4 linked regions of the Tamandua tetradactyla genome follow. The protein of the gene in region 1 interacts with the protein of each later gene in a pairwise test. Links are inferred from orthologs where the notes say so. Each region holds a gene or a part of one and is shown in the gene's direction. Other genes may lie near its edges. The genes, in order: CMTM5, SPG21, MTERF3 and GAD2.

What was found.
Region 2: the proteins of CMTM5 (region 1) and SPG21 interact in binary tests that used the Homo sapiens proteins (3 or more experiments, as listed by UniProt). The two-hybrid records come from large-scale screens. The link is inferred for Tamandua tetradactyla from reciprocal best matches to the Homo sapiens genes CMTM5 and SPG21.
Region 3: the proteins of CMTM5 (region 1) and MTERF3 interact in binary tests that used the Homo sapiens proteins (3 or more experiments, as listed by UniProt). The two-hybrid records come from large-scale screens. The link is inferred for Tamandua tetradactyla from reciprocal best matches to the Homo sapiens genes CMTM5 and MTERF3.
Region 4: the proteins of CMTM5 (region 1) and GAD2 interact in binary tests that used the Homo sapiens proteins (3 or more experiments, as listed by UniProt). The two-hybrid records come from large-scale screens. The link is inferred for Tamandua tetradactyla from reciprocal best matches to the Homo sapiens genes CMTM5 and GAD2.

The regions. Positions count from the first base shown.
Region 1 is NC_135340.1:31,515,021-31,523,382, reverse strand, and holds CMTM5 (CKLF-like MARVEL transmembrane domain-containing protein 5), read left to right. Parts: upstream 1-5,178; 5' UTR 5,179-5,208; intron 5,209-5,476; 5' UTR 5,477-5,584; coding exon 5,585-5,701; intron 5,702-6,622; coding exon 6,623-6,775; intron 6,776-7,354; coding exon 7,355-7,447; intron 7,448-7,654; coding exon 7,655-7,739; intron 7,740-7,823; coding exon 7,824-7,837; 3' UTR 7,838-8,119; downstream 8,120-8,362.
Region 2 is NC_135340.1:81,792,568-81,799,821, reverse strand, and holds the start of SPG21 (maspardin), read left to right. Parts: upstream 1-4,111; 5' UTR 4,112-4,321; intron 4,322-4,758; exon of another isoform or gene 4,759-4,840; intron 4,841-7,254. UniProt on the Homo sapiens protein: May play a role as a negative regulatory factor in CD4-dependent T-cell activation.
Region 3 is NC_135332.1:140,115,295-140,123,651, reverse strand, and holds the start of MTERF3 (transcription termination factor 3, mitochondrial), read left to right. Parts: upstream 1-5,008; 5' UTR 5,009-5,142; intron 5,143-8,357. Other genes in the region: PTDSS1 (phosphatidylserine synthase 1), read right to left, coding at 4,421-4,599.
Region 4 is NC_135327.1:224,518,245-224,525,570, reverse strand, and holds the start of GAD2 (glutamate decarboxylase 2), read left to right. Parts: upstream 1-4,325; coding exon 4,326-4,401; intron 4,402-5,093; coding exon 5,094-5,153; intron 5,154-5,332; coding exon 5,333-5,482; intron 5,483-6,400; coding exon 6,401-6,634; intron 6,635-7,326. UniProt on the Homo sapiens protein: Catalyzes the production of GABA.

The DNA.
Region 1 (8,362 bases):
CTCTTCCTAAGTGCCCCTGCTCTCCCAGCCATCACCTGTTTCACCCAAGCACCTCTACCTCCTGGCATGCAGTTTCAGACCCTCAAAACTCACCAAAGAAGTTCCCCCCCCAATTCTCCAGAATGCCCCCTGACCTCATCCCTCCTCTGCTTGGGGGCTGCTTCACCATAAAGCATTGGAAAGGATTCCCCCTCACTCTGCAGTTGTTATTCCTGGTTTGTTCCTTTTGTTTATTTTCTGAGTCCTTGGTTACTGGAGGAGAGTATTTTCTAAGGGAAAGCACATGCAAATCAGGAAACATCGTTCTAGAGATAATGTCCGTGTTTGAGAATGAGTATGTTGGGTGGGAGGATGTTGTGGGTGTGGGGGATGAGAGGAGGGGGTCCATAGAGAGGGTAGGCCTGCCAGGAAATAGGCTCTGCTCTCAGCATAGTGTCCCCCAGGCTGAGTGGACCCTAGGAGAGTTATGTCTTTGATGTCAGGTCCAGCTCCGAGCCATTCCAGAGCACATATACTCCTTCCTGGCCAACCATGGCTGGTGGAGAGCAGCAGCAAACCTTGCCTTCGTCCTTGCCCCAAGGCCCTGTGAATGGGAGTGGGGGCAGGCAGTTCCTTGGAGCTGGGACTCCTAATGCGTCTTAGGTGTCCTTCCTCTTCCTTGCATCACCTTCTCATTTGTGCAATGAGGATAGTCACGCACAACTTCTTCCAACAGATCCTGCAAACAAACTGATGGAGTCAGAGACTTCCTGGAAATCTTTTAGGGTTAGACCTGTATCTCTATCCCAGGGGAAGGGGCCAAAGCTCAGGAATGGAGGTGGTCACTAAACAGGGCAAGGGGAAGTTGGGGGGTGGCTAATGGACAATGGGGTAAAGGTCATAAATGATGGGGCTTCTAGGACTTGGGGTCATGGAAGATGGGGAAGGGGTCAGGGAACAAAAGAGATGGGGGGGTCACAGGAGACAAGGGGGAAGGAAAGTGTTCACTAAGTGGGTGACCAGGAGGAGGCCTGAGAAGAGAGGAGGGAATGGTGGACACAAGGCTCTGGGTGGAAGCAGCAGAAGTCATGGAAATGAGGCCACTTGAAGAGAGGCAAGATGACATTTCTTATTTTGGGATACCAAGCCAATCAGGGAAATTCCCACAATGCCACTTCACAAAGACATGGAACACTATTGCTTTGACCCCATGCCCGGAAAAGTACAAAGAACAAAGTTGACCCAATAGGCTACCAGACTTTGTAATGACTCTCATAACTTCCATTAGTATAGTATTTTAAGCAACTTTGGAAAACAGTTTCAAGTTTTTAAATCTCTGGTCACTCCCTCCAAAAGGTAGTGGAAATAAATTTGAATAAACAAAACAGGTTTGTTCAAAATAAAACCAGGACTGTTAAATACTCCAGCCAGCCCATTTCCACAAGACCTTGACTATCAGTGCACTCCCTGGTGGCTGAGCGAGCAGCATCCAGCATGTACCAGGTGAGAGGTCAGAGGGTTGGGAGAGCATGGTGCTGAGCAGGAAAGGAGCAGAGATGCTGCTGAGGGCTGAGCAGGCCAGGCTCCCTGGTTTGGGGCTGGGGGCCAGATGGAGCTATGAACCAGGATCTCAGGGAACAGCTGGGGGAGTGGCTTGGGTGGAAGGGGTCCCAGATTAGGTGAGAGCGGTTCTCTCTCTGGCCTTTACCTACAGGTGGTTGCATTCCTGGTGATGGTCATGGGAACTTACACCCATAATTGGAGGCTCCAAAAGGAAGGTACCCAATGGCCCAGCTGCTGCTCCGGCAAAGGGCAGGACCCCTCTGAGGAGTGGCTCAGGTGGAATACTGTGCCGTCTCCCCCAGAGGCTGCCAGCCTCACCCGCCCCCTCATCCATCCTCCAGAGTCCTGCCGGGCCAGCGAGGATGGACCCCTCCACAGCAGGGCCATCTCCCCCTGGAGATATGAGTGAGTGTGTTGTGTCTCCCTCCTAACGTGTGTGCCGGTCAGGGTGTGAGCGAGGGGAACTGGGAGTTCCACCCAAGCCCAGTCTACTTTCTTCCCCTTTTAATCTCAGGCAGGCCATGATGTTTCAGGAGTCCCACATGGCTGGGGTTTGAATCCTAGCTCTGACTCTTACTGGGTGATCTTGGGCCAATTATTCAAATTTTTATTCATCTGTAGAATGGGGGAACATCCCATAGGCTGATGTGCAGATCAAATGCCACAATGCATGTAAAAGTCTGTACTTATTCCAGGGAAAGCTGATTCTCTCCTTTTCTTATCCTTCCAGTGGCCATGTTTTTCTAGTGAAAGTTTCAGGGAATGATGGTATGATACAGGTACACGGTATCCCGATAAAAAAGCTCTGGGCCATGCAGGGAAGAGAGTTACAAGTATACTAAGCTATTGAAACCTTTAACCTTTGGGGGCAGCTGGATGGCTGGAATCTCAGGCTGGTTATCTTTGATCATGAGTGGTCTTATTTTTTCATTCAGTGTGCTACAAAACTATTATCCTTTGCTCTTTGCGCCATGATATGGAAAATATTAGGAGGCTCTGAAATAGGGACAGTGAAGAAAAATATTAAAAATTAGGGCCTTCAGGATCACAGACCTATTTATTCTTCTGTTTTGTGTCCTCATCAGATGTCCATGTTCCCACTTCCCGTAATTCTAGTTCTGGCTTAGCTTTGGCTTTGGAGATGGATCTCCATCCATCTATTCGGTGTGGGTAGAGGGGGACGGGGGTCAGCTTTAATCAGGACTAGATTTAGCATGGAGGTTCAAGGTCATTATGTTCTAGAGCAGTCTCAGAAGGCTAGCTGGATCCTGAGCCAAATTCAGTGGAGGGGCAGCCGCTTAGGGGAGGCTGTCGCCAGGTGGCCATCTCTAGCGGGAGTCTGTGAACCCCTGAGAATCACCCAGCTGGCCTTTCCCAAAGTGTGCTCTATGCCATGCTTGTCCCACAAGCTGCTCCTCTGGAAAAAAAAGCGACAATGTCAAGGAATCTTGGGAAAGGCTGCTCTAGCCCACAGCACATTAAAGGCTGCAAGAAGTGTGCAGAAAAGAACCCATTTAATTCAGTACTTCCCAGACTCGTTTGGCCACAGATCCATTTTCTTGCAGAATACTTATTAGGGAACCTACTTTTGGAAATATTGTGCTAGCTGAGCCCCAATTTTCCAGGGCTTGTTTGTATGGGGAAGGGTCCTTATATTTAGGGTCTATTTCCTGTTGGACTGCTGGAGTCCCAGACCTTTGGCACACTTTGCAGTAGTTCGTAAACCTCTTTTTTTTTTTTTTTTTTGCTAAGTAAGTAAATAAGTACTTGTCAAAATAAGTAAATAGGTCTTACCATACACTTGCACACGTGCTTATGATACATGCATGGGCAGTGTCTGGTAAGGTTGCAAGAAGGGTTGACAGTGGCTCCCTCTGGGGAGTGAGACTGGTGGGGCAGGACCATTAGCCATTACTTTATACTTAGATTTAAGGGCAGTTTTTACTTTTACAATTAAAAAGCACATAAAAATGTAATAACAATAACAAAAAGAGAATCTCATGCTAAAGCCCAGTATATATGCCAGATTGTGCAGAGACTCCTCACCTTCTCCAGCCTTCCTAATGGCCCTTGGACCAGTTAGAAAACCGTTCTCTAGTCCCCTATCCTTATTCACAGTTGGGAAAAGAAAATCCAGAGAGGAAGGGTTCCAAGTCACTGGCTCAAAGTCACACAGCCGGTTAGGGTCAGAGCTGGGGCTAGAAGCCAGGCCGCCCACCACAGCACTTCCTTCGTCTAACACGTGTACGCCTACACTCACGTGGGGCACCCCCCTTGCCCCACTGCTGTTGTGTCCCCCTCCCTCCCTGTCTGCCTGACCAGCTCCCCTCCAGGGCCTGACACGTGCTGCCCCCACAGGTTGGACAGGGACTTGAACCGGCTGCCCCAGGACCTGTACCACGCCCGCTGCCTGTGCCCACACTGCGTCAGCCTACAGACAGGCTCTGACATGGACCCCCTGGGCAACTCGGAGCTGCTCTACCACAACCAGACCGTCTTCTACCGGCGGCGGTGTCCTGGCCACCAGGGTGCCCCCGTGGGCTACTGCCTGGAGCGCAGAGTCTACCGCGTCTCCCTGGCCTGCGTGTGTGTGCGGCCACGTGTGATGGCCTAGCCGGCCAGCCCGCCGCTGCTCCCTCGCCGGGAAAACTGGGGCTGGGCCAGCTGTGGGTCGCATAACCCATCAGTCGTTGTGGGCCAGGACGCCCAAGTGCTCGGCCTCTCCAAAGCATGACCGACCTGGAGCAGCAGGATCCTGGGACAGGATGGGGGGCTTTGGGGGGGGGGGGACCTGCACTTTTGCACTTTTTGGAATGGACGGGAAATACAGGGTGAAGCGAAGGGAGTGGTTGCTGAAAGCTGGTGTGGGGAAAGGGCTTCAAAGCTCTGCTCATGAGGCCACCACGCCTGCTTCCTCCTCTCCTCTTATTCCCAGCTGCCTCTGCACAGCACGGGCACTCTCTTGACGTTTTCTTCTCTGCCAGTGGAGAGCCCCCCGTTTATTGTTCATTTGTTCATTCACTCATTCATGAATTCATTCCTCAAATATCCATTTTGTGTGCATCAGGGTGTAGTTACATATCTTTTGACATGGAATATTCTGAGGAGGAGGCTGTTGTTGAGCATGGAGAGATGTATCCAAATAAAGAAGTCATATTTAAAAGTGGCCTCATTTATCTTTGGCATCCCTGATACCTGAACACCCAGGGGTCGCCTAGCTTGGACTCTCCCCTCCTCCCCACCCCCGCCGCCACCCCTCACCTACTGCCACTCTGCCTGCCACAGTTTCCGCTGTGCCCTCCTATCCCTGCCGCTCTCTGGTTCCCTGACCTACTCCCGAACACCAGGGTGGGGGATCAGGCTGCCTTTCCGGCCTGCCAGAGATACAGAGGCCCATTGAGGCACTGCAGCAGGCACACAGCACCCCGTTGTCCCCCCAACAATCCGCCTTTGTCCTCTGGTCCTGGCTGCTACAGCTCGGTCCAGGCGGGGTGCAGCCTGGGCCAGGCTCCAGCTCCCAGCCTCCCTACAAGGAGAAGGGAGAAAGGAGGGGCCAAGGAAGAGGGTTAAAGGCAGAGGCGGGGGACACAAGTTTCTTCAGGCTTAGGTCCTTGAAGGGCTCCTAGTCCTGACTCTGTTTCTCAGCTTACCTCCCAGCACCCCCTGGTTTGCCTGCCTACTTCCTCCGCTGCCCCTTCCTCCTCCCTGCTCCCCTTCTCCGGGCTGGGTCAGCTGGGAGTAAGGGGAGGGGCTAATCACACCCCAGCTCTCCTCCTCTCTCACCCCCACCCGCCCTGTGCACTTCACAGGGGGCCGGTGCAGGCACCAGTGGGGGGCACTCTGAGTCCAAGCAGCTGGGGGAGGGCCCATCGGAACCAGCCTGCCCCGGCTTCTCCAGGGGCCCCGCAGACTGGCCTCCTTGCTTCACTTTCAGGTTCCTCGCATCCTCCCTGCTCCTGGCTGCTAACCCATCCTGCCAGGTTTCCATTTCCCTTTCTGGGCTGTGGCAGAGGGGGGCTGTGCTCAGTGGGCCCCCCCGGAGATGCTCAGCGCTCGGAACCGGCCCCCCGAGGAGGGGGCAGCTGCGGGACTCCAGGGTTTCGCCGTGGACAAGACCTTCCTCTCTTCCCTCAGAGGCATCCTGCTGGAAACTGAGCTGGTAACTGCTGCCTCCCCGAATCGGGTGCCTCCCTCTCTCCCATCCCTGGCTCCCTGGCCCAGCCCTGGCCGCGGGGCCTTCCCAGCAGCCTCCTTTCCCAGGCTTTCTGGATGCCATCTCCCCCACCCCCATCTCCCACCCTGCCTTCTGGCCGCTCTCCATCTAGAGACAGTTGCAGCAGGAAGAATTGAAGTTAGACAGAAGGACACTCTTGGGGACCTCAGGGGTACCTAAGTCCCAGGGCTGGGACAGGGAGTTGGAATGCCTGCCTGCCTTTCCTTGGCCTCTAAGATGGCCACTTCTTGGCATGTCTAAGAACTATCAAAAAGGGCAGACTTCCTGTGGCTCCACTTTTATCTGTTGTCTACTCCCCGTGAAAATCTATTTCGGGATAGGGTCTTCCCCTGGTCACTAAGTGTACACTTAATTTCTGTGCACATTTGCCATCCTGTGCTGCCAGAGCTGCAGGCCCCTGGGTCACCGTGTGCGTCTGCCTTCTGAGCCTCGCCTCTTGGCGTGGAATTGAGGACTTTGCTCCTTGTTGAAGTTTTAGGCATCTGAGAGCGGGGAAAGTGTTAGGGGGCAGGGCATGCCTCCTGGGGCCCAGGGCTTCACGGGCACAACTGCAGAGGCAAGTGTTCAGACAGTCCTCTGTGCTCCAGGGGGCCACCGCTGTCTGCATTGCCCTTTGAATGGTGCCCCCTGGAGTAGTGCAGCTCGGCCATACCGCTGGGGCTGCGTTTAATGGGCAAATGCCCCGGCCTGGTAGCTCCTGTCACTGGAAGGGGAGAGGGTGGGGTGGTGGAACCTGCCAGAGCTCTTGCTTTCCTCTCCAAAGACAAATGGTGCCAGCCAGGGGGAGCCCCTGGCCTGTGGGCTCGTGTCCCCTTCCTGGCAAGCACCACATGCTCGGTCCTGCAGGCCCTGACCTTCATCATCTTTATTTGCTTCACGGCCTCCATCTCTGCCTACATGGCCGCCGCCCTGCTCGAGTTCTTCGTCACCCTCGTCTTCCTCTTCCTGTACGCCACCCAGTACTACCAGCGCTTCGATCGGCTTAACTGGCCCTGTCTGGTGAGGACACCTGCCCCCCCCACCCCGTCCTAGTTTCTCCCTTCTCCTTTAAACACAGAGGTTTCTTTTCCTCTCCCAGACTCCCCTCTCCCTAGGCCCAGTGAGGGTGGGCCCAGCCCCGCCTGCCTCAGCTTTTCTCTGCCCCCTGCTGTGCCCTGCCATCAAAAGCTGAGAACTGACCCATGCCGGTTTCGTGGCTCCATGGGTCACGGACAACGAGGGGATTGCACACCCTTGTCTGTTCTCCCACTCACCAAAGTCCAGCCCCACTCTCCCAAGAACCTGGCCATCTACAGGTTCTGGCTGGGGTGCTCCAGTCGCCATTTGGGATCGGCTGCACCCCCCTACCCCTGCAGGCCCCTGGCCTCCTGCCCTGGGTAGCTCTGGATTCATCTGCATCTGTTCCCTGGTAGTAGGGGGAGCGCCCTTTGGAAAGAGCTTCGTTTTGTGTGTGCAAGGGTATCCCCTTGTAAGGACTGGCAGCACTGCTGACTAGCCTGGAAAAACCTCAGGTTGGATGCCCCTGACCTCTGACCTTCCCTTTGGCCCTGCACCCCCCACTTTTTTTATCTCCCCCAGGACTTTCTTCGCTGCATCAGTGCCATCGTCATCTTCCTGGTGGTCTCCTTTGCCGCTGTGACCTCCCGGGACGGAGCTGCCATCGCTGCTTTTGTGAGTCTGGTCCTGCAGGGCCCTCTGGGCCCCCAGGGTCCCTGGCTGATGGCTGCAGATGCACCTTTCTGGGTCCTCCCGCCCCTCGAGTCAAAGCCAGTGCCCAGGATTGTGGCTCACGCCTTGCCCCAGGTCACCCGCCTCCCTCTTCCCAAATCCAATGGCCTGATGCCCTTGGTTGTGCAATCCCTGCTTCGACCCCCACAGGTTTTTGGCATCATCCTGGTCTCCGTCTTTGCCTACGATGCCTTCAAGATCTACCAGACTGAGCTGGGGCCCCGGGCCACCCAGGGTGAGTGTCTGCACTTGTGCCCCTGCCCCAGCCCCAGCTACCCCATTCTGAGCTTCCTTCTCCTGCCTGGCTCCATCTTCGCAGGCGACCAGCAGTGACCCCCAGGGCTCCCCAGTTCCAGCCAGTCTTAAGGGGACACAGGAACCCAGACACATCTTCGGTTTTGCGAGACTCTCTGCCTACCACCTCCCCAGCCGGGCCCATGGAGATGACGCCTGGCCAGAGAAGTCTCCAGGCGCATCTGTGGGGCCTGGTGCTCTGGGACCTGGCTCCTGATGGAGCTCCACCCAAGGAGGGGGTGCCGTGGAGGGTGGGAAGGACGACAGAGGGGAGGAAGCTGAGCTCCCAAGTCCTTCCCAAATTAAAAGATTCAAGTACTGGTGGCGAGTCTTTCTGTTTCCCAGAAATTAGGCCTCTCAAAGAATGTGTGTTTTTGGAAGTGTTGCCTGCAGCGGGTCATGGTCCCTCTCTGGACCCTGGTCTGAACAGGGAGGAGGTGGGGGATGGACTGAAGACACAGAAGGCATCATCCAACACAAAACTTGCCTGCCACAAATCTCTGGATTCAGGGCCACTTTGTGGCGTGCCTGGTGCTTGGCGCCTGGAGTTTTATATCTAGGAAG
Region 2 (7,254 bases), about 50 Mb from region 1:
CTCTTGAAAGGATGTTTATTGCTTTTATACTTTGTATTGAAGGCAGTTCAAAACTATTTCTCTTTATACTATCTTTAGAGGCAGAGTCTTTGAGTCAGACAGATCTAATGTGAACCATGATTCTCCCCTCTGATCATAAGCCTAAGCTGTTTACTTAACTTCTTTTGAGTCTGCTTCCTTATCCACAAAATGAAAGTCATACCTATTATGCAAGGATTGTCATGAGGAACAGAAATAATATATGTAATGTGTCTAGCACAGTGCCTGGAACACAGCAGATTCTTAATAATACTATTAGCTAATACTTTTATTGAGTACTGGCCACATGTCTAAGACATGACATGAACAGTCGTTATTTTATTTTTACAGTTACCCTGCGATAGTAGAATTTCCTCATTTTTTCAGATGAGATAACTTAGGTACAAAAAAGGTTAAATAAATACCTAGTAAGTGATGGAGCTAGAACTGACCCCCTGGTAGTCTGACCATTCTACTCCCCTATCTGTATTTGGAAATATTTTCATCCTTGATCAGGGAGTTTAATGTCTTAGGGTTTGATATTCAGAAACTGAGAAATGAGAACACGTTAGTTAATTGAGTACCCATTATACAGGTTCTGTGCTAGGTGGTTTCAAAGAGATTTTTCTTATTTTAGTCACTATTTAATCACTGTCTTTTTTTACCTGAAGAATTAATAATACGTTGTAGAAACCTGCCGAAAGACTGCTGCTTTTTGTGGTAAAACAGTGCACTCTTGTTTTCCAGGATTCTTTTTTGCTGTGCTTCCTCCAAAAGGCAAACTAAAGCATTAGCATTTAGGAAAGGATCCTTAATGAGATACTGAGTTGGCAGATGCTACAAAAGCTGTACCTTTGCTTAGGAACTTTTTATTTTTAGAAGTTGCTTAGGAAATTTCATTTTAAAAGGTTAATAATGGGGCGGGCAGTGGTGGCTCAGTGGCAGAGTTCTCCCTTGCCATGCCAGAGACCCGGGTTCAATTCCCAGTACCTGCCCATGAAAAAAAAAAGTTGTTACAAAGGATAGTGTCTTTGACCAATTCTTGGGAAAAAGTAATCCATAAAGCTTTAAAAAAAAAAAAAAGAGAGAAAGGTCGATAATGAACAAACATTAACATCGCCAAGAAGTTCAAATACTGTTTCCATTAAATAGTCATTTTTGTGTGCAGGTTAATTCTTTAAAGTTTTATTGGAAGCAGGAGAGGGGAGATTATCAGAGAAGGGAAGCTTTGAGGGCCAGCCATTGTAAATATTCAATAAGTCTCCTAGATTTATAGACTCTAAAATTTTATAATTAGAAAGAACTTGGAAATCATATGGGTCAACCTTGGCCTCATTTTACAGATAAGGAAACCAGATGTAGAAAGAGGAAAGAAGAGAACTCAGGTTTGTTAACTCTTGCATCAGAACTAAATCAGTAATTATGATAACTATATATAACTTCTGTTTGATAGGCTCTTCAGTTAGCAAGCTATAGAATAACCATGTCAGCATCTTTCTTGGGTGGTTCCAGATATATCTGTGTATGATCCCTATAATACGGTGCGATATGCATTTGACCCAGACTTGGTCTGGCCATGAAGAAGCAGTATTTCATTTCATGGGTCCCGGCATAACTGGTATATAACATATAGTTAATTGTACCCTGAGAAGATTTTACAAGATATTTTAAGAACTGGGTTAGTCTGAAAAATCAGTGTTTTGTTTCTCTTTCACTTTTTCACGCATCTGTAGTTCCTGGAGGTAAAATAGGATTATTCATTCTATTGGGTTGAGTAAAGGGAGGCATTCTTAGAGGGGGAAGAATATACACACAAAAGTCTATAGAGGTTTGAGACCAAATGAAGTGTTTGGGGATGTTCAAAGAGTTGTTGTGATGAGATCACATGATCCCATCGATAGCCCAGTGGAGCTTGAAGTTTAGCTGAAGGCAGTGGGGAGCAATTGAAGGATTGAAAGCAGGGGAGTCACACAAAAATATAGGTACTTTTAATTTTTTTAATCACACAATATATGAATCATTCTTACATAGATTCAAATACTAAATATAAAGCCAAAGTGCTCCTTTACCACTCCTTCCATACCAAAATCCTCCTCAGAGGTAACCACTATTCTATTAAATGTGTATTCTTCCCAACCTTTTAAAAAATGCATTTACTTATGTGTATGTGTGCACAGAGTATATCTAGTATTGTTTTGTAGGTGAGATTTAAAACTGTTTTCAAGGGATCAGTTAAGAGGCTTGGGCAGTTCTGAGCCAGCTGGCCATCTATTTATTTTGCCTGGTGTTCACAGCATATTTCATGAACATTCCAGTTGTTCAGTGTGAGTCTAGCACAGGGATTGGTGCTGAGGGAACCATCTGGCAGACCCCAAACACAACAGCTGCAAACCCTCACAGCCTGGTCCACAAGGTCTGCTTCACTGTGTGCCGTGGGTCAAAAGTTTGCTGTCCGCAGTTGTGCGTTAATAGGACAGCTGGAATTCACAGATATTAAATGTTCCTTGTTCATATTAGCAAATGGACAATCTGCTTGCCATGTGTTCTAGAACAACTGAGGACCCAAACATGAGCATAGGGTCATTTTCTATAGGAAACATTAAAAAAAACCCCATTATTTGTTAGTTATTACCCACCTAACAGAATAAGGATGTGTTTGTATATTATATAAAGAGACAGAGGCATATGTATGGGCATATTCATAGCTGAGTTCTCATTAGGGCAATTATTAAAGTAAGGTCTGGGGATGGGGGATCTAAGGAATACAGTTTTAGGACTACATGTGGATAGATTTATTTTTTCACTCATTCATTCATTCAGTATACATTTAGTAACTTTTATGGGCCAGACCATGTGTTAAGCTCCCAGCCCAGCTGGGGAGATACACCAATAACTAATGTAATGAGTGCCTGCAATGGGTTTTCCATATATCCAGTGACTTGCCAGTTTTTCCATTCACTAAAATACTCCCACATTTTGAGAAAAAACCTCCAAGGTTAAAAATCCTTCTTGGAAACATGCCCCATACACCTATATGGTGTTTATAATAAAGGATTACTTCCTGTGACTGGCTTGCAATTCCGAAAGAGATGATTTGTAGAAAACCAGGAGAGATTATCCTGCTCTTGGGAAATTCCTGGGGTTTGTCCAAGTTCTAGACTGGAACTAAAGCTTCCTGAGCGGGAGGGCAGAGATCATGACTCAGCATGGAATTTAGGACTCTCCCCTGACCTAAATCCCATGAACACTTGTCTGGATCAGGTCAAAGTTCGAAGGTCCATTTAAATAGGAGACACGCTCTCCCTAAAACAGATTAGGGAGAAGCACTTTTAACAGGATCTTGTTGCACTATCTCTAAATAACTTCAAACGGGTAGATTTACATGCTACTTAATCTTCATATTATTTCAGTGCAAATCTGCAAATATTTTACTGAAAAGGGCTGTTTCGGCCTCTGCAACCTCTTGTTTAAAAAGTGATCATAAATGAATTCATATTCTCTGCTCTTAAAACCGCAGTGAAGAAGGTGAGGGAGGCTCTGTGGAACTAAATTCCCGGAAATTCCCCGGGCTGCCAGATTAGGGCTGGAAGGGAAGGGAGCGTTACAGTAGAAGGTTATGGAGGGTGTCTGTGATTGTAACAAGGAAAGAAAAAAAAAAAAAAAGAACTAGGCAAGAAGAGAGTATACAAAGCCCTGGTCACCAAAACCTGGAGCCCCGGGGATCCCCTCAAATCTTCACACAGAGGAGAGGGAACAGTAGGCATCTTCTTCCTCCAGGTGTGCGCGAACGAAATGCAGAAGCAGGTTCCAGGAGGCCGGACACCCCCTTCTCCCTCTCTCACAACTTCCTCCTTGGTGCTCACGTCTCAAAAGCTAGACTCAAAGGCAATCAGATTTCCTCTCCGCGCCGACCACCACCGCTAATCCTACGGCAGGTTCCCGCACGCACCCGCGGAACCGAGAACTCCGGGAGTTCAGACTGAGCTCAAGCCCCGCCTATCGGGGGCCCCGTCGCCATGGAGACCCCCGAGCCCCCGCCCCTTCCCCGTGACGTATCCCTCCCCCGCCGCTGAACCCGGAAGCGCCAGGCGCGCGCCCGCTACGGGGACAGTCGGGAGGGCTGCGCGCCCCGCCCCTCGGAGGCCTGCCCTCCTGCACGCCCCCGCCGCCCGCCGCCGCTTCTAGTCCTGGGTGTCCCGGCTGCGGGCCCGGACTCCGGGCCAGCCGCTCCTCCAGCTCACTCGGGTATTGTAGCGAAGAGCCGCTTTGGGGAGGAAAAGGGTCGTGGGGGCGGACACGGCAGGTGAGGGGTGGGCAAGGCCCTGGGAGGTGGTGGTATGGGTCTCTATTGAGTGTGAGATTGTGGGTGTATGTAAGTGTGCGCGCTTGCCTTGGTCGGTATGATTGTGAATGTAGCCCCGAGTGGGCCGGTCCATGTGATCGTGCACGTGATAGCACTTCCGTGTGTGTGTTTGTGTGGGTGTGTATGTATGTGTGTATGTGTATATGTGTGTGTGTCTGCCTTTCTCTGAGGCCAAGCCAGGGCTCAGAAGGGTCGTAGGTGGGCCTGTGACCCTGCCTTTGTGTGGCTGTCACCGGTGGAACCGGGTGAGGTTGGCTGGTGTTATGGGTCGCCTGGAGGGGTTTGCACAGGGCATCTTCCTGCAAACCCATCCTGGAGCTACACATCTGCAGCCCAGGAACAGTTTTTTTTTTTTTTTTTAGTAAACTTTTAAGAACTCTGAGCAGACGCCAGTTATTTTGGAGATTCTATCTCAGCCTGAAAGTACAAATGTCTTTGTCATTGCTGAGTACCACCCAGGTGTGACGCTTATGAATGGGGGATGAGAAGAATAGCAGGGCTAAAATGTCACTTTTCTTCTTTTTGTTTTTCTGGGGAGTTGTTTTCACAAGTTCTGTATTTATGCTGCTGCTTTGTCTCCACCTACAATGGTCCAGCTCTTATTGGTACAAAAATTCAAGAGACTTAGGAGTAACTTAATAGCTGTGTCTAAATTCTCAAAGCTTTTACACCAAGATAGAGCACAAGATGAGGTGTCACAGAGGAGATGCCAAGTAGGTAGCTTTCCCCCCCACGAGGTATAGAAGATAATGAAATAGGTTCCTGAAGAAAAGAGAGACTAATCTTACTGGAAGAGATCTTAAAACAAGGATAGCGGTGTACTGATGTGGCTAAGCATGGAGGCTTACACTAAAAAGCTAATGCATTGCCTAGAAACTCTTGGGTTCTATTATTTTGTTATTGCTGGTGTTAATAATACAGATTATCCATATGTAAATCAACTAAAGAGTGCAATAAAGGTTGGAAGCCTCTCACTAGATAAGCTGGTTCTGAGACTTCTTAAACACTTGTGAGGGCAATTTGATTGCCTGCAAACTGGAAGGTTCTGTTGAGATTCTGAGGGATAGGTGCGTGTACTGTCTGGCGCACAGTCACAACCTGGCAGTTTTGTTGTGGAACAGCCCAAGGACTGGAGAGGAGTGCATTTCCATTGCACAACCGGAGAAGGGGTTTCCTATCACAAAATTGAGGCTAATCTAGGTGGCCTTTTCCCCACCAGCACGAACAGGTGCTTTTGTTTTTCTGAAGAGTTGAATCTTGAGAGGTCAACTCAGAGTTGAACCCAGCGATCCTCATTCTTTCTTGGTTAATACTGACCAGTTCAATGACAATCTCACTTAACCTTCTTTGCCATCTACAGAATGTTCCTCTTGTGACTTGGAAAAGTATACGCCTTTGGAGTGGATGAAAGAGATCTGGGAGAACAACTTTCCTTTTCATACTGCTCCCAGCTGCTTTTCTTTGCAGCAGTGAGCTTTTTTCGCCTTTAGACATCAGTTGGTCAGCTGCAACATTTGGTATCTGTTTAACCTTTCATGTACTGCCAGACTAGGACAAGTGCTAGAATCACTTGTCTCTACAAAAATTCAGTCACAGTTGGGTGGAATCTCTCCATCCTGCAAGATTAGTTATAAAATATTAGAACATTGACTTGGCTGGGAATAACCCTGAGGACTATTGGTAAGGAGCATCTTCCTACTTTTGCTGTGGGGAAGAAGCGCGTGTCTGAGTTCGTGAGACTGTGCATCGTGTGTGTGTGTCTTTGTATTGTAGTTTGATTGTACATAGCAAATGAGTCCCAAACTATGATTAACTTATTTTATCTCAGTTTGGAGGATTTAGAAGCAAACTTTCTGCCTTTAATTAGCTAAGATTTGCTTTTTTAACTGTTTAGTAAATCTTATTGGCTAAGCATGTTTTTTATGTTCCCTCCTGTAGAATAGAGTAATTGTTTCTAGTAATGCTGTACTAGGAAATGTCTTCATTATAAAGTATTTGTGTGATATGGGAGCATTTCACATCTGTGTCAGGGTTAAAAATATTCCAGGACTATCTATTTATGTGTTAGTTCTTTTCAATTAAAAAACAATAGCCAGCTTAGAGAGAGGCTAGAGTTTGTTCAGATGGTTTAAATGTTTTAACATGTTAATAATATTGAGCAAGATTTTTAAATGGCTATGCAAAGAGGGATTTTATTTCATTATGACTAATAACTGCATTTATGCTCCCTTATTTTTTTATTTTTTTATTTCTTGGTATGGGCAGGCACCGGGAATCGAATTTGCTCCCTGATTTTTAGCAAAGTACTTCAGAGCAACTTACAATTTTAATGAGTTTTTCTGAAAGTACCCTGTTAGCCTTTAGAGACAAGAGCATTATTATTACAGTGTATAGGTTGTAGGTCAAGTGTAGTTTAGGAATGTCTAGATTCACCATCTTCCAGGGGGTTGTTTAGTAATCCTCCAAGGTTAGAGGTAACAGTAGAGACCCCAAGGGCCCTGTGTTCTTTAGAGTATAGATCTGGAAGGCCAAGAAAGATGCGTTCCATTGAGTTTAGAGTCCTGTGCTCCTTGCCAGTCCTGAGAACACCCTCTAAAATGACAGTTCTGGGTCAGCCCATGAGTTAAGTTCTAGAGTCTGGAATTCCTCTTAGCCCTGCAGGGGAAGCCAGGCTTGCCCCAGGGGCAGGGGGCAGCGTGCAAAGCCAGTAGTGATTGCTTCCAGTCCTTCCAGTTGATGCCTAGGGTGGAGGTTCCTCATTTGGCAGGAAGAATCTGCAACAGGGAACTATGATTTCAGGTTCCTGTTATGATCTAACGCAGATGCCTGACCAAAGAAGGGCATCCTTTAAGCTAAAGTTGCTTAGCCAGTCC
Region 3 (8,357 bases), on another chromosome or scaffold:
TCAGGTGAGACACCACTTAACCCAAAAAACAAATATTTGAACCATCCAAATGCCTGTTTGCTACAAAAGACCCCGGAGAAATACATGGCGCATTTTTTCCTTCAATAAGTTTAAAATCTTTTAGGGACCTAAAACACCAGAAATAAAAATGAAGGTAAAAGGATGCTCATTTAAATAGTTTATATATATGATTGAAATATAGTAACTGGGGAAGAGAAATGTTCAAGGTCAATGTTAACTGGACCCAAGAGTGACCCAAGCACAGTGGCCTTTGGTCACCTCCAGGGTCTGCTTAATCCCATACAGTCATTATAGGGGATCACTAAATATGGCTGGGGTCAGAGAACAAGGACATCCAGGGTTTCCTATTACTGAGAGAGAAAGAACATAATGTACATGAAGGAAACGGGATCTAAACAACTGAATCTGCAGTATCAAGAGATGTATTCTAATGGGAATTTATATGGTCTAATGGGAAAGGAACAAGGGAAGCTGGCAGTTTTCCACAAGGGAAGTGGCACAGAAGGCCAGAAATGTGGCCCAAGGGATATGATGAACTAGAGCTCCAAAGTCACTAAGGGAAATTAAAGTAAAAACAATTATTCACCAACAAATACATCAAAAGTCTGTTCCTTCTTCTGCTCCTGGCTGTCTCCTTAATCCTGTATCAAGGAGAAACCTAACACAGACAAGGTGATAAGCACTTAGGGACAGTCAATATGTAGGATGGCAACTCCCCCCCGCCACCAACCCGACCCCTTTAAAGTAAGTCATGATTTTTGTTGGGCGAGTGCTAACAGAGGCTGCTTTCATTGTTTCATTGGCAGGTGATTCTTGAGGAGAAGGTGGGCTGCTGCAAAGTGGATTTAGTACATTTTGGTGTCTTCTGATCTAACATTGAATTTTTGAAACTAAGGTTGTTCAACATTTCCGAGTTAATCAGCCTCTGAAATCAGAGTAAATATGAGGGTACCTTGGTAATTAAACATTGAGCTTCAGACAAAGGTTTTCCTTGCCGTACCTTGGCTGAATAAATGTATAAGACATATGCCAAAGCATCTAATTTTAATATACTTATTCTAAAATATGGCAAAGCAAGCTTTTTATAATTTTAGGAGGAATCTACTAGGTAACATCTGACTTTATTTTTAAGGAGGCGGACAGGAGATTTAAATACTATGGTTTAACAGTGAGTTGGTTTACCTGCTTTTTAACGAAAGAACTACTTGGTAAATCTAAATTTGTCTCAGACTTCTGTGTGAGGTGTATAATCCTCAATCCTAAATTCTCACTTGGTCACTACAGGATGTGATATTACCCAGGTACTGATTCCCACATACTGGAAATCTGATGCCCCAAATGTATTCTATCTCCTGTTCTCTGAGACTACTAGTCTTTGAGAAACAAACTTTAAGTCCTATTTTTAAGGTTTTACTGAAAGAACTGCACTAACAGCCATCCAACTAAAATCCTGTTAGAAAATAAGGATAAGGGACTAGAGAAAATCCCTACAAAGAACACAAAATGAATAATTTTCATTTAAGAGGTCATTATTTTAAATCTTTACGGAGGAAGACAGAGATCTTTGTAATCTGCTTTAAAGGGTCAGAAATTGTTACCAAAAAAATGAGTAAGATGTAGTAAGTACAAATTATATTAATTGGGCTATTGATTTTATATAACATGAAATGTGTTATTAATTAGCTCTTCATTATGTGATTTCTGTCTCTGCACAAAATTAGTGGAAAAAATAAAAGCACCCCTTTTAGAAATGGCTATAGTCTGAAGTTCAGATTATGTTTTTTCTATTACTTTTGACCATCTCTTAAAATTAAAATTTATTTCTTATACTTTCACTTATACTTTCTTTTACTTTCACAATTTATTAACTGCTTTGGCAGAGTATGTTGTAAAAGGGGAAATTCTAGAAGAATGTGACTTACTATAATAGAAAAGAGGAAGAGAGATCTATTCTGAAAGAGGCTAAACTATATTGAAGATAAAAGGTTGAAACAACCTGCTCATTTTTGCTTCTCATTATTTAAAATAAAATGCCATGATTGTTTTCTAATTTCCAAAGAAATTCTCTTACTTATTTCATCACTGCCAAGTCATACAGGAGATGAAGTTAATATGAAACAGACATCTATGTCAATCAGTCAAAGCAACGTCCATTTTTCCAAAGCTTTTATCCTTTGCTTCAATTACAGAGCATATTGCATCTTCTAATATAATTTAGAAGGCATTAGCATACAATGAAATCATGTAATAACAGCTAATGTTTATTGAGCACTTACTATTTGCCATGCACTGAGCTAAACACATAGATTATCTAAAAAGATTAATCCTCACGACAGGTAATCTTATGAGGTATTATTTTATTAATATTTTCATTTTACATACAGATAAGGAAACTGAGGTTAGCAAAACTAAGTGGCCACACGGGTATTAAGTGATGAAATCAGATGATATGATGAAGTATTCGAGGGTAATCATAATTAGGGGCACAACTGATCTATCTTCAAAGCTAAAAATACATTCTTGGTCAGATTCCTTAGAAAAGTCTAGTCTTATTTCACTATATAGCAATAGCAGAAGACTATGATAATAGCAGCAGGATCCCTCAATCATTAAGGGCAAGTAATCATCATACATGCTCTATATCTTTAGGCAGTTTAATTCAAAAAGACAAATACTTCCTTAATAAGAACCAAAAGTCCAATGGATTATGGAGGTCAGGAACAAATGTGGTGTAGGAAGATGGCTTTATGAAAATCTGAATAATTGCAGTGGTTCTCAAGGGAGGCACCACTGCCATTCGTGTTTGTGTATGTCTGTGTGCATAGGGGACAAATCATTCTTTGTTGTACAATGCTGTCCCATGTATTGTGACACGTTTAGCATCCTTAAGCCCCACCCACTAAATACCAGAAGTGTTGCCCCAATCCTTGGGACCACCAAGGGAAAAAAAAAACCTACACATTTTCCAGCCTCCCTGTTGAAAACCACTGTTGGATAAAAAAACTGGGAGCCAAGCAATATCAGTTTGAGTGACTATCATGTACCAGGCACTCTGCTAAGTGCATTTATATATATATCCATTTAATCTCTGTAACTCTATATGGAGTAAGTATTTACTTCATCTTCATTTTACAGGTGTGGACCCTGAGGCCGAGGGAAAGGTTAAGTAATTTATGAAGGACACAGCCAATTTTGAAACCAAAACTACACTCATCTGGATTGGTCTTTTAAACTGTAACGATGTGGGTAGGCATGACTTTCCTTTCCTTAAGGAGGTTCATTCAAAAAATACAAATCCTTGTATAGGAACCATAGTGTGTCTGCCCGTTACACACCAGGTTTGTATTTGTTCCCTGGGTTGAGAACGAAAGGCCACATGTATAGGGATATATTTTAGGGCTACATGATATGTGAACAGACTTATACCAGAAGTGCTTTGAGTATGTGTGTATATGTTTGCAGGAGGATAGAGGGTTGTTATGTTGTATTTATCTGATAGATATAGCATTTACTATGCCACAGGCATTACAAAGTCTCCTTTCAGCATGTATGCTAAGTGGTGAACTGGCTGAGTGTGTACCACGTGATGTCTCTGCTGGTGGGCTGTGTGGCATGATGGTATTCAAGAGGTGAGGGGCATCAGCTGTGCTGGATGGGGAACCATCTGCTGCGTCCTGTGTCTAGAGCAGCAGTTTGTGTCCTGGTATAGATGGGCGGTGTTTGAGGATGGGGGAAGAGTTATGGTAGGTGACTTTGTGATGAAGAGGGGAAGCGCTGCATGGAAGAGGATTGTGGGTGGCCTCAAGTGTGCATTTTGTGTGTCTGGCACGTTGTGCTGAATACTGGAGGACTTCTGGGCGTGTGTGTGGTATGGGGTGCTGCATTCTGGAGGCGCTGTGGGTTTTGTGTAGTGTTGTGTCCTCAAAGTGGTGCATAGGAGATGATTCATGCGGTGTGCTGGGTAAGGACGGATAATGGAGGGGCTGCAGAAGGAAGGGGCCAGAGTCGTGACATGCGTGGGGCGCGATGCTGAAGGCGGTGGGAGATAGCGGCTCGGGATGACCCGCGTGTTAGGGATGTGGCGCTGTATGGGAGGCGCTGTATGGGAGAGGGTAGTTTTGAGAGGTGGGGAGTGGTTGGGGGGGAGCAAAGGGGAGGTAAAGGCGTCTAGTCCAGGGGGGTTGTAGGGGAGGCGGCTGGGGTGTGCCGTGAGACAACGCACGGGTGGAGGAGCTGCGTGGGCGGCGGGTCTGCTCTGGCTATGACTGTGTGTGCGTGGAGCAGACAGTCTGCTTCTTCAGCCCAGAGTCACATCGGGCCACCCTCTCCGCCACTGCCTCCCTCTCGCCTCTTCCCTTTGCCCTCTGGCGCTCGCCTCGCGCGGCCGGGCCCGCCTCACCTGGTGAAGGCGAAGTACATGAGGCTGACGATGGTGAAGCTGAGTAGGGTGATGGTGTGCGGCCGGTAGAAGAAGTCGATGGTGATGTCCTCCACTTGCTGCTCGTTGATCATCCGGAAATGCATCTTGTAGTTCACATCATCTTTGCTCAAGGTCCGGCTCCCCACGCAGGACGCCATGGCCCGCCTCCCCGTCCTGAGGCAGTGGCGGCGGCCCCAGCCCGCGGAGGCTGGGACCCAGGTGGTGGTGAACCGCGACAGGCCAGCGGTCGGGCGGCCGGGCCGGCTCTGGCGCCCAGCAAAGGCTGGGAACCCAGGGGAGGATCGGCGCGGGAGGGCGGGGTCGCGGCGCAGACGACGCGGTCTTGGGCGGGGGGCGCCGCCGGCTGTCCCTAAACTGGCGCTCTGTGAGGGCTATCTCCAAACACTCACGGGGGTCTTCGGACTCACACAAAATGAGGTTTGATAGAAGAGCAAGCAGAGAAGGGAATTTGACTCTCAGTGGGCTCTTTCCTCTATCGGACCGCCGCCCGCTCTCTCCCCCCGCGCAGCCTCACAAATGGTTTCGCCCAGACGGGCCGCAGCCCACGTGGTGTCCGGACGCCGGCGGCGCGGGGCCTGCCGGCGGATGAGCTGATGTGAGGTTCCTGGGCACAGGACCCGGGCCGGGCGTTCCGGGCGGCCACCACGGTTTAGGCGACAAGGCCCAGGCCTCGCCACAAGGTAAAGTTAGGAACCGCCAGAGCGGGAGAGGCTGGGGTCCGGCCCGTTTCTGGTTCCCGAAGCACCGGCGACAAGGCCGCACCCCGCTACCCTGCCTCATCCACGCAGTGAACATCACTGCCTTTGGATCTTTGCGGCCCAGTTGAGGGCGCTTGGTTTTGTTTTTTGTTTCCTTTTTTTTCCCTGGCTGATCTGACGGAAACTTGTTAATTACCGCATTTTGCGGAGGACGCTGAAGGAAGCCCAAAGTGCAAATGGGCTTCCTACGGAAGTTGAGTATGGGGAACTGAAACTGACTTGTTAAAATGACCTAGGGAGGGCGTAAAGTTTTATTTGGGAGGCCCTTTTATTACGAAGCTTACCCTTCCCCACCTTAGTAGCCTCATTCCACATATTAGCCCTACAAAGCTAGAAATTTTGAACCCTTGAAACAGCAGTGTTTCAGTGCCAACTACTATTCCCGCCGAAATACTTTGCAGTGTTGAGAACTATCTGGTATTTTAAAGGACTTGAATTTTTCTTAATCGTCCTGCCATTGTTAGAAGAACTATTTTCGTCACTTTTTTGGTATGCAAATGGATTCCCCTCTTTGCATGCTGGGTGGGCAAGTAATAGTTACTGTTGATACATTGCCATTCAACAGACATCTGGACTAGTGGAGAATAGCTGCTGCGAGGTGGATTCTGAGATGAGCCGCTGCTCTGTTCTCATGAGTGAACAATTATTCAGTTGTTAAGTTGGACAGAGTGAAATGATGATGTGGAAAAGAAAGTGCAGTTGTAAATTAAAATAGAAGGATAAACATTAATTATATGCACAAATGCCTTTTAATTTATATGAAGATTCATCCTGCCTGATGTGGGAGGGGTACTAACTTGAGTCTGGAAAGGCTGAAGAGGGAATTTGGGATATCAGAAGTTTGTTTTCAAGTAGATGAAATACTTAGGCATCTTAAGAGTTGGAAACTTTTAGAGCTGACAGGAATCATAATCATCTTGTACACTAAATGTTTCTTATGTAAGGGATGGTTGCTGACCTCCCAGCATGGGCCGTGCATTATGCTGGACTGCCACAAGAAACTTGTTCTTGTCAAAGTAACATGACTGAGATCTTCTGTCTTTCAGTTGGTGCCCTTATGACTTTGTTGTGCAGAGAATGGGTGTTGTAGGTTTGAGAAAAAACTTGACAAGTCACTTCTATCCAAAAAAAAATTTTTTTTAAGCCTGCTGGCAAGGATTTTGTGAATACTTATTTCAGAATGGCAGTGAGACTTTCACTTTTATAAATCTCTTTCATCAAACCTCCATAAATTACGAATCTCCAGGAGGATAGGCCCTCAGATAATTGGTCTAATTCGGAGCATAAACAAAGCTGAATTCCATTATGGAGATAAACCAAAAAGTCGTTTGCAAAAATTAAGTTGACAGAATTTATTTGTATTTGATTGTGTAAGCAACAATACCCTGACGTTAAGCATTTTCCATATGCTGGATCCTGTGCTAAGTGTTTTTTTTTAATTTTTTATTAATTAAAAAAAATTACAAGAAACACAAACATTCCCAACACATACACTCAGCAATTCACAATATCATCACATAGTTGCGTATTCATCATGATCATTTCCCAGAACATTAGCCTCAATTCAGAAAAAGAAATAAAAAGACAACAGAAAAATATAACAAACAAACAATAAATTTTACATGCCATACCCCTACTGATCCCTTTCATTGATCACTAGCATTTCAAGCTAAATCTATTTTAACATTTGTTCCCCCTATTATTTATTTTTATTCCATATGTTCCTCTCATCTGTTGACAAGGTAGATAAAAGGAGCATCAGACACAAGGTTTTCACAATCACAAAGTCACATTGTGAAAGTTATACAGTATACAATCATCATCAAGGAACATGGCTACTGGAACACAGCTCTACATTTTCAGGCAGTTCCCTCCAGCCTCTCCATTACATCTTGGATAACAAGGTGATATCTACTTAATGCATAAGAATAACCTCCAGGATAACCTCTCGGCTCTGTTTGGAATCTCTCAGCCATTGACACTTTGTCTCATTTCACTCTTCCTCCTTTTGTGGAGAAGGTTTTCTCAATCCCTTGATGCTGGGTCTCAGCTCATTCTAGAGTTTTTCTCAATCCCTGGATGCTGAATCTCAGCTCATTCTGGGATTTCTGTCCCACGCTGCCAGGAAGATCCACACCCCTGGTAGTCATGTCCTACGTAGACAGGGTGAAGGTGGTGAGTGTGCTTGCTGTGTTGGCTGGAGAGAGAGGCCACATCTGAGCAACAAAAGTGGTTCTCTTGGGGGTGACTTGTAGGCTTAATTTTAAGTAGGCTTGACCTATCCCCTGTGGGGTTAAGTTTCATATGAACAAACCCCAAGACTGGGGGCTCAGCCTATAGCTTTTGTTGTCCACACTGCTTGTGAGAATATCAAGAATTCAACTTGGTGCTAAGTGTTTTATATGTATTGTTTTATTTGATGTGAAATTGTGGGCATTGAATTTATTTTCCTAGCTTAGTTGGGCTAAATATAAAATTCGTTCATATACCCTGAATTTGAAGTAGTGAGAGCCTTTCCTGATGAAAGCTTTTTAAAAGCAACTACTTTTTCTTTTAAAATATGCATACCTTCATTGCTGATTGCTTATTTCTATCACTTTGTTCTACTTGCTTGTTTTAATCTTTTCTTTTTGAAGGCTTTCTCTTTTTTCTGCAGTAAAGCAGATGACAAAACTAAGGAACGGCTCTTTTTGTGACATAATCACAATGTTCAGCTCTGAGTATGAAGCAAAAAACAGCTTTTACTGTTCTATATGGCAATGATAATATTTTGATGAGTCACTTATGACAGTGGATTGCTTTCTTTTTTTATTTTGTGATGAATTTATAGGACATAAAATAGCATTTGAATAATTATATTATTTTGATCAGCACTCTGCTGCTTAAATGTCCTTCAAGTTTTAAGGATATGTGATTGCCCTATTTTATTTTTTTTTTAATGATTAAATTAATAGAGAGTATTAGATTTAACATAACTTGAACATTTAGATTTTTGTTTAAAATGTTTTTCTTACAATTGCAATTTTGCTTTTTGTTTTTGAATTATAAAGTATATGCTTGTATTTCCTGTTCAGAAGTTCTGTATGGTCTGTAATGAAGACTACCTTATTTTTGGCTTTTCCTCTACTTCAGAAACA
Region 4 (7,326 bases), on another chromosome or scaffold:
GAGGGCCTGGCCCAGCCTTTGGAGTCCCGAAGGAGGACAACGGGCGGGGGGTGGGGGGAGGCCCTTGGGAAGCCTCCCCGCATTCCCGCCCTCTCTCCACTCTGGCTAGCCCGGCCAGCGCGCCATCGGGGCGTCCCTGTCCCCCGCGCCCTAACGTACCTCTTGGGTCTCTAGTTTGTTCTGATGGTCCCGACTGAGCTCTCGCCGACCCCTTTTCTGGTTTGGGGTGATTTCAAATATTTGCCCTTTCTTGGAAACGTCTCTCCCAGGCCTGCGGGACACACGCGGGCCGGCGATATCTAGGGGAACAAAGCGGGGCGGGGCGGGGGGCGGGGTGAGGGTTTTCTCTTCCCTTGGTTTTTAAATTTACTAAATAAAGTGCCTTGGAAAGTCTGTGGCCTGCGGGCGGCCTGCGGTGCTCCCCTTTGGGCCGGACGCCTGCTGTCTGGAGGTGTAGAGGCTGCATGCGGGGGGTGGGGGTGGTGGAGGTTCCCTCCCTCTCCATCAGCGAACCCCTTCCTCCATCGACCCAAAAAAACATGCAACCTAAGTTCAAACCCGAGGTTTGCGACACAAACGCAGCCCCCGGAAAAATCTTTAAGTTCCCCGGGGTTTCTCACCCCCGCAGCCCCAGCGTAGCTCCTGCCTTCCTAGACTTCCCTCCACTGAACTGAGTCTGCTCTTTGTTCGTCTAGTCTGCAGGATGGAGCAATCTCTGCTCCTCCAAATTCAGGTGTATTTAAAGTGGGGAGGGGGCGCTTTCATCAGTTGCCTACACCTTATTTTTTGAATCGAGTTAAGTTCTTCTGTGACCTGAAACCCTTCGCGTGTACGCGGCCTGGGAGGGCAGGGGCAGGTGGCGCGGTGTTCTGCTGAGGTGTGAACTGGGCCGTGGGTTCTGGTTGGAACGCGGCTTGTGGCTTCTGGCGGTGCCTTCGTCTCCCACCCATGGCCCGGGTCCGAGAGCGCTAGGGACGGGTTCGAGGCTCGAGTGGGGCGCATACAGCCGCGTGGTGGGTTTGTCGCGCAGTTTTCTCCCGCCTCAAGAGTTGGCACTAAAGGGTCCCCGGAGGTGACTCGTCCGACCTCTTCATTTTACAAACGAGGACCCGGGATTCGGCGGAACCCGAGTCCGCGCGCGCTGCAGGCCCCGCGCTTTCCCCTGCCCCAGGCTGGGAGGGGAGTTAGGGAGGGGAAAGGCGGCGCGCACCAAGGGCAGGGGCGGGCCCAGGCACACAGACCCGGAGGGCCCGGCCCCCTCCGCCCTTGCCCACCTATCCACCATCACCAGGCGGCCCTCCGGAGAAAACAAGTCGAGCCCCTCTTCTCTCCCAGAAATATTCTTCCATCCAGGCTTCCCGGGTGGCAACTGCGGACCAGAGCCCTGGCGACAAGGCTTGTGTTGCTGGACAACAACTAAAAAGCCCCAAAATCTCGGCTTTTTCAAATGCGGCTGGAGACAAGAATGGTAAATGCTTGGTGAAATGGAGAAATGCTTTTGTTTTCCTTTTGTACTTGTTTCTTTCCTTCCTCAACCCTTCGTTCTCTGTCTTTCGACACTGAAGTCCTGGAAGGACATAGGGAAAAGCTCATACTACCCCCTCCCCGCCCCCCGCTCCTTTGGCGGGGCTGTGGCGCGATCTCGCGTAAACCACCGCCAAGCGTTATTCACCCGAGGAAACCGCTCAAGGTGACGCCCCCGCAGCCTGGGTCTCTCCGCTCCATCGAGGAAGAGCCTTCGAAAGCTTTTCCCCGACGCGGGCCCGCCTCCCCTCCCCACTCAGTGGCAGCCTCCTTTGTGAACTAATGACTGTAATTATTACTTCCCGGAGCTGTTTTGTTATCTCCAACTCGGAGCCAGAGGGGTAAGGGGTGGCTCTTTTTGCGAAATCAAAGTCTTTATAAAGCAAATTGCCCTCTTGGGAGGCACGGCGTTTAGGAGGGACAAATCAGGTCCCCGTCTAGCTCTGAAGTAGGGTGTTTAAATAAAAACTGGAAATACCACCATTAGACTCAAAGTTCTGCAAAGCTGCGGGATTTAGTGGCATTTGAAGTCACTGCGCTAAAAATAAAAATTAAATTCAGGTGTTGGGATTTTCTCTTGTTTTAATCAGTTTCTACCTGGGGGGATTTGCGTGTTTTTTAACGCTTGTTTTTAAGAATGTCTGTCTTCACGAACGCTCATCCATAAGCAGGAAAGTTCTGCAACCACAGCTTGCAGGCTTGAAGCGAAACAAGACTTGGTGTGGATTTAAACAAAGAACAGCCCTCTCTGATTCGTGTCTGAGATGCTGGAGCGAGAGCTGCGGAGCTGCCCTGCGCGGGGTGTAGACGGCCCAGCCACGAAATCTTTACAACCCTGGAATTATCACCTGTTTTACACTGGAGCGCTGGGGGCGGGGAAGAGAGGCCGATCTGAGTCCAGGTTTGGGCCCTCTGCACGCCCGGAGCCTGCTCGGAGAGGCCCCTGGACGCTGCGCCATGGACTAGACCAAGCCCGCGCGTTCCGTCCAATGCCTTCCGACGGCCGCCGTGCGGATCCTCGGGCTCTCCTGGGAAGAAGACAACGCCTTATAGAGAGAGTTGACCAGGCCCCCGCGTGCCACCCAAGGGTCTGTGATGCCTCTAGGAAGCAAGGGTCGAGGGCTGGTGGCAAAGACCTGCGGGTCTCTGCTTCCACCGCAGCTTCGGTGCCCGTTCGGCATTTCTGAGAAAGCGCGGCCTGGGACCACCGTGGAGATGGCAGGCGCTGCCCTGAGCGCCGGGTAGGCGGACGCCGCGGGAGGCTGGGAGCCCCCCTTTCGCGTTCGGGTCCTTCTCGCCTTCTCCCCACGAGCCCAGGACAGACAAGGTGTGCTTGACGACGGTCTCACAGGCAGAGAGTCAGCAAGGCGAACTCACGGGGCCCCAAAATTCTCAAGTCCTCCTCCCTTTGTTAAAATGACTTTAGAGAAAGGAAACCGTAAGTGTCGAGAGAGGCTCCGACTCTCTCCCCCTTTCCACCTGGCGGTCAGAAATAGAAGAATCACTGTCCCCTCTCCGTCCCCCTTTACCGTGAAGGTTCTCCTTTGGGAGGGGGACAATTATTGGTCAGAGGCCCCCTAAAGCGCGAGCCCTGCAGGCCATGCCTTCCTTCTGCCTCGGAGAGGGAAAGCCCAGATTGCTTAGCTGGAAACCCTGTGCACGCCTCCCACGCTCAGACCGATTCGCTGTCACACGTCAGCAGCGGACCCCTCCATGCTTCGGCGGGCCAAGGTCACCAGATGACTTCATCCCATCCCCCATGGGCCATCAGTCCTACGAGCTCGACCGCTCTCCCCTCCCCCTTCCAAGAAGTTTCCATTTGTTTTATTCTTTTCCCCAGCCTGAGGTCCTCGGTGATAGACTCCAGCGTGGATTTTAATTGCCTCAATCAGCAGTGCTTCTTCCCAGCTGTCAGTCAGAACCCGGACTGTAGGTCCCGCGACCGCGCGCTCCGCTGCGCAGGAATGGTGCGCCCGGGGGGACCGCGCGGCTCAGTAGGCAGGCACTAGGCTCTACTAAGGAGCTGAAATGAGCCCATCAGCGCCCTAGACTCCCTTTCCCCACCGTGCCCTCCCCAAGCTGGGGAACGGCTCTTGGTTCTGGCCCAGAGAACCAGTCTCTGGAGGTCGCAGAGACCTCGGCACCCGCCTGGAGAAAGGCGGCGCGGGACCCGTGTGCGCTTCTCCACAACGGGAGACAAACCTCAAACAATAAGCAGATCGATGCCTGCGTGGAACTCGGCCCCCTTCCCGCCGCACCGAGGCCTCTAGTCTGGCGTTTCGGGAGCCTTAGCCGCGCGCAGCCGGCCGCGTTAGCACCATGGACAGCGCCAGGACCTCCGGGGCGGGCGGTGCAACCACGCGCGACTCTTCTCCGGCGCGGCCTGCGCGCCTCCCGCCCCCTCGCTTTGACTCCTGCTCACGCACCCTGTCTGCCTTGCACCCTCCCGTTTTTTTCTCTCTGCCGCCCTCTCGCCAGTCCCTACTGGGCTCTCCCGGGCTCAAAATCTCTCCGACACTCCGCGCTTTCCCATCTCCAGAATTCAGGGACTCTTTGCCCCCCTTCCCTTTTGATCCCCTCGCCTCCAGGGCTGCCAGAGCGATGCCACGTCTCTAAGCCCTAACCCCGCCACACACGAGCGCGCACACGCAGACACCACGTTTCCTGTCCCAGTGTGACACCCATCCTGCGCCGCGCGGTGCCCTCCTCCCGCCACACGCGCACGCACGCGCAGGGCCGAGCCCGGGCAGCTCGCCGGCACTTCACACTCAGAGGCGACCTGCTCCAGTATCGCCGCGCAGATGGCATCTCCCGGCTCCGGGTTTTGGTCCTTCGGGTCTGAAGATGGCTCGGGGGATCCTGAGAACCCCGGTACAGGTAGGAACCTGGATTCTGCTGCGTGTGCTTTGTGGGGCACTAAGGTTTGCGGAACTGGGGTTAAAACGAAGGAGGGTTTTCCACCTGCAGCAGGAAACTTCTTCCGACGCTTCACTGCTCTCGAGGTTGGTCCTTGACGGTCCAAGAAACCGAGGCCGGGCAGCCTCCTTTCCCTTGGGCCCTTGTGGCTGAAGTGAAAGCCCCCCAAAGACGGCGGCATCTCCCAGACCCCGAAATCCAAGGGCGAAGGGTGCTGCCACATTCTTGGTATCGGGACGCTGGGGAGGGACGGGGTGCGCATAGGGTAAAGAAAAACAAGGAAGGGGAGAGAACGCTTGCTCTGGAAGGAGAATCTGCGAGGAAAGCGCAGCCTTGGTGTCTAGAAAACGCCCGAGCAAGGCGGCGAGGGGAATTTGTCTGAACCGATTGGCAACTGGAAGGCAAGTGCAAAGGGCCCCGGGGTGAGTTTCTCCTTGTCCCCGAGCAAGTCCCGGAGCCGAGGGGGTCTTGGCGGCCAGGCTCCCGAGCACATCCCGCGCCTGCCCGCGGCGCCCAGCCTCGGACGGACGCAGGGGAGGGAGGTGGCCCCTACCGGGACCCGGACCTACTGATGTCGTTCAAATAGGACAAAATGTCACGCATCCGTCTGCTCTTCTCTTTCTGCCTCGCTGTTGCTTGTCTTTCTCCTCCAGCCAGAGCCTGGTGCCAGGTGGCGCAAAAGTTCACGGGCGGCATCGGAAACAAGCTGTGTGGTGAGTGCCAGCTCCCGGGGTAAGGCGGGCGGGGCACCCCGGGGCGCGCGGTCCAAGCGCCTTCTCACCTCGGGTAGCACCACCGGCGAGTTGGGCTCTGTTGGCAAGAACCAGGCGGGGCTGAGAGGCCGGGCCTGGCGAGCGGCTGACAGCGACCGGCGCTCTGTGTCCTTGCCTAGCCCTGCTCTATGGCGACGCGGAGAAGCCTGCAGATAGCGGCGGCATAGAGTCCCCGCGAACCGGCGCGCCGAAGGCCGCCTGCGCCTGCGACCAGAAGCCCTGCAGCTGCCCCAAAGCCAAGGTCAACTACGCATTTCTGCATGCAACAGGTAAGTGCGCCCTGCCAGCCCCGCGCGCCCAGCCCCCTGCCCCGCCCCCACCACTGCGCCCGGCCATCCCCTCGGGGACACCCGAGCCCCGGCGCCGAGGTGGCAGGAGGAGGTGGGCCTGCCGGGGCAGGCTGATCCCCAGCGGCTTCCCGGTCTGAAGCCGGCCTTGCACGCGCCGATGCCGGTCTGCCTAGGCGTCTTCCGGGCATCGCGCTGCGATCTGAGCGCGGTCCTGGCAGGCAGCTGGCGCCCGGGCTCGCCGTCGGCTGACCACGGCCGCCCGGGCTCCAGTAGAACGCGGATTTCAGACCTCCCGCCGACCAATGCAGGAATGCTGAGACTTTTATGTCTTCAGCTTTTGAGGGTCATTTGTAGCCGCGGTTTCGCGAAAGAACCATTCTGGTCCTGTGAGACCCGTGCACGAAGGTTTGCCTCAGAGCGTTAACACACTCAGTCACCCAGACACGCACGCGTGCACACACGCACGCGTGCACACACGCACACTGATTTTGGAAACAGCAGGCCGGAGATCCTAATGTTACATGTTCCATTTTGCCTGGTTAGCCCGAAGGCATTCCTCAAACATTTCTGATATGCCTTGTTTCCATAAACAGTTATGATGGCTTACTGAGAATAACGTTTAAGACGAACCCTTATGGCATAGATGAATAGATGCACACGCTCTTTCTAAAAAACAAAAAATCATTGGAAATGCAAGAATTAGTTGGAGGGAGTCGTCATTTTTCTCATTTATCTCCTTTGAAAAATATCTCCCCTTTAGAGAAAATGGCCCGCAGTTCCAAAAGCTGTTATTCACACATAAAATCTCACCGTTCCGAGAGAAATTGCCTGATCAAAATCTTGTTGGAATATTTTCATAGTAAAATTTAAATGTGGTATTTTAATCCCATTCCTTAGACCTGCTGCCTGCTTGTGATGGAGAAAGGCCCACATTGGCATTTCTGCAAGATGTTGTGGATATTTTGCTTCAGTACGTGGTGAAAAGTTTCGATAGATCAACCAAAGTGATTGATTTCCATTACCCAAATGAGCTTCTTCAAGAGTATAACTGGGAATTAGCAGACCAACCACAAAATTTGGAGGAAATTTTGATGAATTGCCGAACAACTCTAAAATATGCCATTAAAACAGGTACTGTTCAATCAAAAATGATAAAAGTCTTTTTTCTTTTACAGTTTTTATGTTTTCTATAAAATTTTCTATTTTATGGAATTACTGATATTTTCAAAATTGCATGTTTTCCATCATTTTAAAAATAGTTATTATCAGAATGATTAAATGCAAAAAGCACCTTCTAACCTTGCTGTTGATGCTGCTGAAATTGGTAAGATGAGGGGCTAAGTACATGTATCTAAGTATGTGTACATGCATCTGAGTATATGCATATGGCCATGGAGATTAACTTCCAGTGTGGAAGCAGCCCATTGTCAACAGAGGCCAGTAAAAGCGATCCAAAATGAAGAAAGGGGGAATATGGAAATTAAAGCTCAAAAAGCATGATTCAAACAAAAGCCCGAATCCCATTGTGCCTGCTGATGGTCTCCTTGGCACAAAAACGGTCAGAAACTGGACTGAGCATTCTCGCACCATCATGAAGTCAGACAGTTGTATTTTGGCATTGTCTCAAATGGCTAAGACCTCAAATTAGAATTGTATGTTTCCTACTGGTTTTAAAGAAATGTAAAAAAGAAAATATAAGATTCACAAAGGCTAGCTTAGCACCCCAGCCACGTTACAGACGTGTGTCCTTCGCAGACATTGTGGAGGTAAGACAGAGCAAAAAAGGGCAAGAATGGCTTTCCTTAGGGGCATGTTTTTAAAAA